2 linked regions of the Schizosaccharomyces pombe genome follow. The protein of the gene in region 1 interacts with the protein of each later gene in a pairwise test. Each region holds a gene or a part of one and is shown in the gene's direction. Other genes may lie near its edges.

The links. The genes of interacting proteins can lie anywhere in the genome.
Region 2: the proteins of dma1 (region 1) and SPOM_SPBC56F2.07C interact in a two-hybrid assay, tested with the Schizosaccharomyces pombe proteins (2 studies listed by BioGRID).

Annotation. Positions count from the first base shown.
Region 1 is NC_003424.3:2,357,525-2,361,584, reverse strand, and holds dma1 (mitotic spindle checkpoint ubiquitin ligase Dma1), read left to right. Parts: upstream 1-1,713; 5' UTR 1,714-2,211; coding exon 2,212-3,015; 3' UTR 3,016-3,557; downstream 3,558-4,060. Other genes in the region: mannosyltransferase Imt3, read left to right, coding at 72-1,142; Set1C complex subunit Shg1, read right to left, coding at 3,654-3,822, 3,888-4,009. UniProt on the Schizosaccharomyces pombe protein: Probable E3 ubiquitin-protein ligase which is a component of the spindle assembly checkpoint, required to prevent septum formation and premature exit from mitosis if spindle function is compromised.
Region 2 is NC_003423.3:4,098,538-4,103,773, forward strand, and holds SPOM_SPBC56F2.07C (ribosome biogenesis factor recycling AAA family ATPase), read left to right. Parts: upstream 1-2,000; 5' UTR 2,001-2,043; coding exon 2,044-4,473; 3' UTR 4,474-4,687; downstream 4,688-5,236. Other genes in the region: puf1 (RNA-binding protein), read left to right, coding at 1-393; protein tam13, read right to left, coding at 4,935-5,222. UniProt on the Schizosaccharomyces pombe protein: ATP-dependent chaperone which uses the energy provided by ATP hydrolysis to generate mechanical force to disassemble protein complexes.

The DNA of each region.
Region 1 (4,060 bases):
CTGAATCTACCAAGCACGAATATACAACTGACCTGATTTTATTTCGCTGGAAGCGTATATTTGATGCCACCATGAACAAAATACTTTTTTACTTTTTTTTCTTTTTGACACTAATTCTTTCCGCTACTGTTTATCTTTTTGGAGGTCCAATGATGCTGTTCTTTATTAATTATAAGACAGACCTTCTTAAAGTTGATGACGTTTATAATCATGAAATTTATTCAAACCAGTCTGCTGCTATTCCTAAAATTATACATCAGACTTGGAAAACCAACGAAATTCCGGAAAAATGGGTTGGTGCCCAGAAAAGTTGCATTGATCTACATCCTGATTATGAATATGTATTGTGGACTGATGAATCCATGAGGGAGTTTATTGCTACTGATTATCCTTGGTTTTTGACTCAATATGATTCTTATCCTTACAATATTGAACGGGCTGATGTCGTTCGATACTTTATTCTTTACAAATACGGTGGAATATATTTGGATTTGGATGTTGGTTGTAATCGAACCCTTGATCCCTTATTGCATTATCCAGCATGGGTGAGGAGAACTTCCCCAAGTGGGATTAGCAATAATGTAATGGGATTTGCTAAAGGGCATCCATTTCTTTTACAGGTGGTCAGAAACCTACCTAGATTCGCGTTTAATTACCACTTCCCTTACCTAACCGTAATGTATTCGACTGGTCCATTGTTCTTGTCGATAATATGGAGTGCTTGGCGGAAGCTTCCAGATGCCGAAGCTTGGCATCATATTTGGGTGATGGTTCCCGAATTGTATGAAAAGAGCCACCATGCATTTTTTGAAATTTATGAAGGTTCATCATGGCACGATAGTGACGCTGGATTTGTATTCTATATGTTGCATCACTGGGCCATTTTTACATTTCTTGGTTTTTTGACGTTTTTCATTGTTGTATATTTTATATTTGGCTATGCTTTGAAGCCTGCCGCTCGTGTCTCCCGCACTGGTCGACGGGTATTTTCATCTCCGTTTTCTAAGACATCTCCGTCCCGTTGGAAGATTTTCCATCGTTTCACTTCTTCCAATGAAAAGTATGACCAAACTCGTTCTGATTCTTTACCTTTCATGTCTGATTATGATTTGGAATCGCAAACTCAAAGTCACAGTCCCTAAAATTACTCGGCATTTGCTACTACAAAGGCTTCATTTGCTTTGAAGTTTTGACCTGTCTATCTTTTCATTTTCATAGAATTATCATAAATCCTTGTATTTCATTTAGTTTCGTTCTAGTTTTCTAATATAGTCTATTAAAAGCAAGTAATTTCACAATTGTCTACCGTGATCGGAAAGGGATATATACCATGAAATGACTCAAGTCCAAATCTATAAAAATAGAAATGCTAAAGATATTTTCGGAACTACTCATTTCAACTTACTTTTTGTTTGATGGATTTTCAGCTAAATTCTAAATTATACTAAAACAATAAATTATTCAACATAAAAACGGTGTTGCTTAAGTCCATCTGTATGGTGAGACAAAGATAGACAAAATACCATCATCGTCATTGTTTATGCGACGCATCTAGTTTTTTATTTGTTTTTATTATTTGTTTTGTTTTATTTAATGCACAATTACTATACCGAAGAAAACATTGTGTTGTACCGTAAGTTGGATACCGAATTAGTCATGCGCCTTTCGAGGCGGCATAGCATTAACTGTATTCGTTTGCAGCACCATTTGACCGTTTACTGTGTGCAATTTACTTGTTCTACTAAATTGGCTTCATAATTTATAACATATTTTTCTGATAACAGCGAAAACTATCATTTTTTCGATTGCTTTTCATTTACAGCTAAATTCTGGTTGATTATTAAAAGTGTTTCTTTTCGGAATTAAAGTGTGCAATTCAGTTAAGAGTTCTGTTTGCTGTCCTTCCTTAGCTTTCAACAGTTTGTTTGTTTTTGAGGCCTTTGTTTTCGTTTTTGTCTCTTGTTGCTTCCAAACTTTAATACATAAACACAACAACCCCATATACTTTCGTATTTTGTTAGCAATAGATTTGAAACTTACCTTATCTTCAATTTACTAGAAGGAAGGCATATTTCTTTGAACTTTTTCTTGGATAACATCAAATTGGTATACGGAAGACAATTTTCAAAAGCTTTTAACATTAATTTATTTGTTTTTTGTAACTTTCTATCCTCCATTCAATTGTTTTAATAAAGCTTTTCTTTCCAAAAAATGACAAAATCTGTTGAGGGATACCTCAAAGAACAGGAACTTGCCGCTGAGACTGATTCTGAAAAGGACGACGATAAAATATCAATTCGTTTAACTAACTTTGTCGGTCCCAATGCACATTCTTTCTCTTTTGATCCGTTAGTTCGCTACTGGAACCGCAAGCAAAATAATCTACCCATTTACATAGGAAGATACACAGAGCGATACAACGGCGGTGATGTTTCTGCTATTGTCTTCCGTTCCAAAGTTGTGAGTAGAAGGCATGCACAAATATTTTATGAAAACAATACTTGGTACATTCAAGATATGGGTTCTAGTTCTGGTACATTTTTGAACCATGTTCGTTTATCACCGCCGTCAAAAACGAGTAAGCCTTATCCCATCTCGAACAACGACATATTACAACTTGGGGCGGATTATAGAGGAGGTCATGAAGTCAACTATCGTTGTGTTCGTGCCCGAGTTGAGCTAAACAACTCTTGGAAAATTAAGCTTAGTCCTTACAACCTTAACGAATTCAAAAGAATGCAAGAACTGGTGTTATGCGGATCTTCTGAATCGGGTCCTCCGGAATGTTGTATATGTCTTATGCCTGTTTTACCTTGTCAAGCATTGTTCGTTGCACCTTGTTCTCACTCTTATCACTATAAATGCATACGCCCAACCCTAAACGAAAGTCACCCATACTTCAGTTGCTTTATATGTAGAAAATATCATGATTTGGAGGCTCCTGTTGAAGAAGGTGACGAAAGTCTAAATGACCTTCTACGAAATGCAACGGTAAAAGACGATGCATCTGAGTAAACTGTTATTTTCAGTATGGTTACTAATTGTCTTTTACGTCCTCAAGTTCTTCCTTTAATGACCATCGTAACATAATGATCATATTATATTTAGTCTTTATGAGCATGGCAGAAGATTATGGGAACACAGGCTCTTTGACATTTGCTGTTGCCTGATGATTGAATTAAACAAGCATGCCTCCCTAACTTTATTTATCAACACTCATAATGATTAAATATTTTATTGATGAGAAAACCAAGTGCTACTTGGTCTCTTTTATTCATTACTGCATTAATATAATTATCCTAAATGGATATATAATCTTAACTTCTGTCGTCCTTCACACCTGATCTCTACATACTCTCACATTTTTTTATTTTTTTTGAAACATTGGCATCACAAATGAATGTACTAATAATCAGCAGTAATAGAGATCCGAATCTGAAAGAATTGTGGTTGTTCTTCTGAGAGTCCATTTATTATCTCCTTCAGCATCATTAAATGTTATAACTTTTAATTCACTTCTTATGCAACCTAATGTGATTGCTGGTAAAATTCCCGAGAGTACAATTCTTAATTGTAATAAGTATGTTCAGTATATGCAATTTAGAAGTAATCAATAACAAAACTTTTTCAAACTTTTAAGTAGCTAATTATCTTCATTTGCGCCCATCCATGGTTTTACTATTCAGCAATTTTTCTTCATCCTCATGCTCTATTTGTTCAATCCCTATTTGTTCAAGAGAATTATAAATAACTTCCCTCAAATCTTGATCAGATAAAACATTGCTTCGGATGTGTTCCATGCTATCTTCATACAATGAAGATCTTATGGGTTAGACTGAGTTTCCAAAAAGAAAAGAAAAAAAACCATTATTAAGTCGTAAGCTTACCTATCTACGGCACCTGCAATTAAAGGAGCAGCCCTAAACTGGTCTTTACTTTTGAGTGTGCGATCTTTCACCATTTCTTCATCAATGATTTTTTTCAGCCGATCTAATAAAGGCCCTGATTCCTGAGGCGATGTTAGTATGGCAAAAGAGTGAGTGACATTGGTATCATTATG
Region 2 (5,236 bases), on another chromosome or scaffold:
GCGTACCCTTCATACCCTTCGCACATACCCCTGGGCACTGCTTCTCTTCCCTTGAAGGGTAATTTATACCAAATTTCTCGTAGTGATGATATCAAGTCTGGAGCTCCCGTTTTAGATACCTCTTCGCTTGTAAATCCCACTTTGGCAAAGTCAGCGAGTTTGAATAACTCCTCTCTTCTCAACCCATCTTCGTCTTTACTTCGTCGTGAGGTTCCCGCCGGAAAATTAACTATGCCTGCATATCCCTACACTACCCAGTTAATGAATCATACCGCCGGAGCTGACTATGGCTTACCTCGTCTATCATCTAAACTTCCCCAGGTGTTCCCTGGTAATTACCCTCGTCTTCAGCAATCGTTGTTCCCTCGTCAAGGGGAATTGCGCTTCAATTAGTCCTTCGTTAAAAAATACTGACGTTAGACATAAGTGCCCTTCGCTTTATATGTCTTTGTATATATTCACATTTGTCGTCATGGTTGTTATTGTGTTTGTGAATTAATACGTATTCGCTTCATTTTTTAATGTCCTTTGTTATCGAATCATTCTTTGTTCGCTAATGTTGTTTATCGTTTTTCCTATTATACTTAAGTGTAATGTTTTTGGGAATATAGTACTACTTGTGCCATATTCCTTTCCATTCTTTGAAATTATTTCCTTAACGCAAACGCTCTTTGCCAATTAATTAATATTGAAAACTTTTTCGCCGCTTTGTGTTTTTCATTTGAATGGTTTGGATATCGTCTACAACTAAGTAGTGCATACCACCCATGCATTGCCAGTAATTGGTTATTTCATCTACCCTTTGATGGTTTTATATTTCTAATATGTATAAGCTGATTTCTTAATTCTGCCATACGTTTAACCATGAAGGAATTTATTTACTACTTATTTCATATCTTTCGGGCGCGAACGTGACCACGCAAATGCACGGAAGATTTTTGTTTTTATTTTTTATTCTGTTATTTTATAAACTTTATTGGGTTTTGTTTTCACTTATTGTTTTCTAATTCTAATATGTTTATGCATTCATCAAACATTAAGCATGAACGTTGTGGTCTAAACCATTCTCTTTTCAGAAGATGCCACAACTTCTATTATGGAAAATCTAAAAAAAAAGAATTATGATGATGTTTACGGGTTAGAAAAAGATTTCTTCATTTTTTTGGATTGGTGAATTTTGAGTAAAATCAACTATATCTTAGCTAATGATTGTCTTCGCCAATTTCAATCATGAAGTCAGAGTCTTTTTATTACCATGCCTTTATTTTCTTTTGGAGTCCTATTTTTGTTTGTATAATTATTACTGTACCGTTGATTGAATTTATATCCAGGGAGATTATTCGGGTTATGTTAAGTTTATTGGAACGTTCATTTAACGCACTCTTTAAGCTTCCGAATGCTTGAGTTTTTTAATTTGCCATAGAAAAAAGTTTTAATTTTAAAAAAAAAAAAGCTTTACAATAAAAATAATTATTTTGTTTCTCATATACGTACCTTTTCAACCTAACCTTAAATAACAATTCGATTCGACACAATATCAATAAACAAATGTTTTATGTGATAGCAATCCTTGTAATTAATGATTACTGACATAGAAATGCAGTATATGTTTATTCTGTTGGAACAAGTGAAGTGACCTAAGTTAGAATGGGATCTACTCCTATGTTTCCTTTTCTGGAGTTAGCTGTAGCAAAAAACACACGATATTCTAAATGCACAAATAGTTAACCAAATTCCTAAGACAAAAAAAAACGTTCTAGCATTATATAGTTTATTCACGAATTCAGTTTTAGTGATTTGGATATTTATTCGTTTTTTCATACGGTACTATAGTGTTTCAATATCGATTCTCAAATTAAAATAAAGAACTCGTAATAGAAACAATCATTGTTAACTAAATGTTAATTCCAAAAACTTTTTACATTTGATATTCAGTTATTTGTAATTAAGAACACATTTAGGACAGCCGAACGTAGTACAGTATTTATGAAACAGGGCTTGACAAAAACCAAAAATTAAATTTTGTTCCATACTAGGAATTTAATGTCTGTGGCTATTAAGTTCACTGTTAAAATAAACGATGGCTCTTTAAGAAGGCAGCAAACTCGACACGTATTCTTAAGTCCTGCTGCTTTGAATCGTCTTAAGCTTTCTCCGTCACAAGTAATTTATTTGAAACATAAAGGCGGTGAAGCTGTTGGAATAACCCAATCAGTTAAGGGAAATGGAATAGGTCCATTTGAAATATTAATTAGTCCTTTATTGGCGAAATGGGCAAACTTGAAGGCCTTCCAGCGAGTTAACATTTCACAATATGTACACCCTTTAAAAGAAGCTGAAGGAATCAAAATTGTTGCTTCATTGAGTAGCAATAATGAACCTATACCAGAGTCCTTAATAAGGAAAGAATTGCTAGAAATAAGGTATCTTCATCCAGGCATGATTGTTATGGGTGAATCACCGATGAATATGGCAAAGAGTGGTAGCAAAAATCTCAGCTCAGAGAATATGGCTACGGAAATTTTTGAAATAAATTCAGGTTTATCTGCGCAATCGGGTACTGAAGTAGGGTCCTCTCAATCTTCTCCCTCCGTGAATGAATCTGAACCAAAAGCAACAGAAGATCTCGATGAGCTTTCTCCCGGCTCTTATAAAGTTAAAGAAATTCACATTCGTTCTCCTTCAAACCTTATAGAAGCAATTTCTGATATGTCTTTAGATGAGCCTCGTATTTACAAATTTACGGCAGCTTCCAGTATGGAAATTGAAACACCTGATTTATTAAAATTACCTCATGAAGACAGAACTCAGTCTGCATACAACCAAGGAAGTGAAGAGACTCAAAACTTCGACGGTCCTCCTTCTGCAGTAACATTTTCGTCGATTGGTGGTTTACAAGCCCAAATCGCCCAAATTCGTGACATTGTAGAACTTCCGTTTCAAAATCCCGAACTTTTTAAGTTTTTTAATATTATGCCTCCTCGGGGTGTTCTGTTATATGGTCCTCCAGGTACTGGCAAAACGATGGTTATGCGGGCTGTTGCTGCAGAAGCAAATGCACAAGTGTTTACGATCGATGGTCCTTCTGTGGTCGGAAAGTACCTTGGAGAAACTGAGTCTAGGCTTCGAAAAATATTTGAAGACGCACGGGCGCATCAACCTTCAATCATTTTTATAGACGAAATTGACGCACTGGCTCCCAAACGAACGGAGGACGTAAGTGAAGCGGAGAGTAGAGCTGTTGCTACTTTGTTGACTCTATTAGATGGAATGGCTAATGCCGGAAAAGTTGTTGTTATTGCTGCTACAAACCGACCTAACTCTATTGATGAAGCACTTCGACGACCCGGACGTTTAGAGAAAGAAATCGAAATCGGTATTCCTGATAAAAGCGCCCGATTAGATATCATTAAACTGTTGTTATCAGGTGTTCCTAATGAAATTAATGATGCTCAATTGGAAGATCTAGCCTCACGAACGCACGCTTATGTTGGTGCAGACCTAGCAGCTGTTGTTCGTGAGGCTGCTTTAAGAGCTATAAAAAGGACAATTTCACTACAAAAGGACACTTCGGGATTAGACATTTTCGGTGCGGTGCAGATGGACGATTTGGAGTTTGCTTTATCGTCTGTCCGACAAAGTGCTATGAGAGAGTTTATGATGGAATCGCCCAATGTACATTGGTCAGATATTGGAGGACAAGAAGAGGTGAAACAGAAACTAAAAGAATCAGTAGAATGGCCTTTAACTCATGGCGAAACCTTCTCACGATTGGGTGTTCGACCTCCGAAAGGCGTACTTCTTTACGGGCCTCCTGGTTGTTCAAAAACAATCACGGCCAAAGCCATCGCAACAGAGACTGGATTGAATTTTATTGCTGTCAAAGGACCAGAACTATTTGATAAGTTCGTTGGTGAAAGTGAACGAGCCGTTAGGCAAGTTTTTCAAAAAGCAAGACAAGCCAGTCCATCAGTTATATTTTTTGATGAAATAGATGCTTTGACTGCGAATCGAGGAGAAGACAATAGTAGCGACCGGGTAGTTGCAGCTTTACTGAATGAATTAGATGGGATTGAAGCGCTTAGGAATGTACTTGTGCTTGCTGCTACAAACCGCCCTGATATGATTGATCCGGCACTTATGCGACCAGGTCGCTTGGATCGCTTGCTTTACGTTGGACCACCAAATTTTGAAGCAAGAAAGCAAATTGTGAAGATACAAGCTGAAAAAATGAAGTTTGCAGAGGATGTAGACTTGGATTTGATTGCGGAAAAAACGGAAGGATGCTCAGGAGCGGAAGTCGTGGCTCTTTGTCAGGAAGCTGGTCTGATAGCTATGCACGAGGATTTGGAAGCGAAAGAAATATGTCAAGCTCACTTTAAAACAGCATTATTGGCATTGCGGAAAGCCATAACCCGAGATATGCTTGAGTATTATGCATCGTTTTCAGAAAGTGTTACTAGCATTTCCTGAGAAAAAATATTATTGATATTAGGGGTTTCATTGTTTATTAATATAATACTTTTTTTCTGTGGTTTTAGTGTATTGTAGATGACATGTGTGGTTAATAAACTTCGAGTGTTTACAAAGCTAGAAATGTTACAAGTGATTGCAGAACGAAATTCACAATACATTATACATTATGCTCAATTTACTTCTACTGCACATTATCAGCATTACAAAAAATAGACCATTTCACTAAAAAAATATTGAGAGATGTAAAAAGTCATAAAACTCGTCAATTTATTTTTAAAGAGAAACATTGATATGTACTAACGTAACATGGAAGCGACAAATAGTCCACAGAAAGTGACATCGGCGATACAGTGCAGAAAAGTTAACGATATACATACGTTTTGCCTTTCTTTTGTTAGAAAAAAAGGAGAGGCACGGCCTCGTCTTAGTCGTCTCCCATGATTATCCGCTGCAGACATCTACTTCAAAAAACCCTTCAACTTGGTGATAATTTCATCTTGTGAGGAGGATGAGTTTTCAATTTCACCGAGAGTTTCCAAAACACGACCACCACTTGCACTGTTGATCTTGTTCAAAATAGCAAGTTTCTCGCTGGTGCTACCAGGAAACATATCGCTGATTTTCTTCATGGTCTGAGCCTGTTTCACTTGCTTTTCTGCACCCAAAGCAGAGCTCAAAAAGTCATTAGACTTTTCGCCTCCCTCCTTGTTGCTACCACCACTCAAGTTGTTCATAAAGTTCTGCATAACGGAAGTTGGAA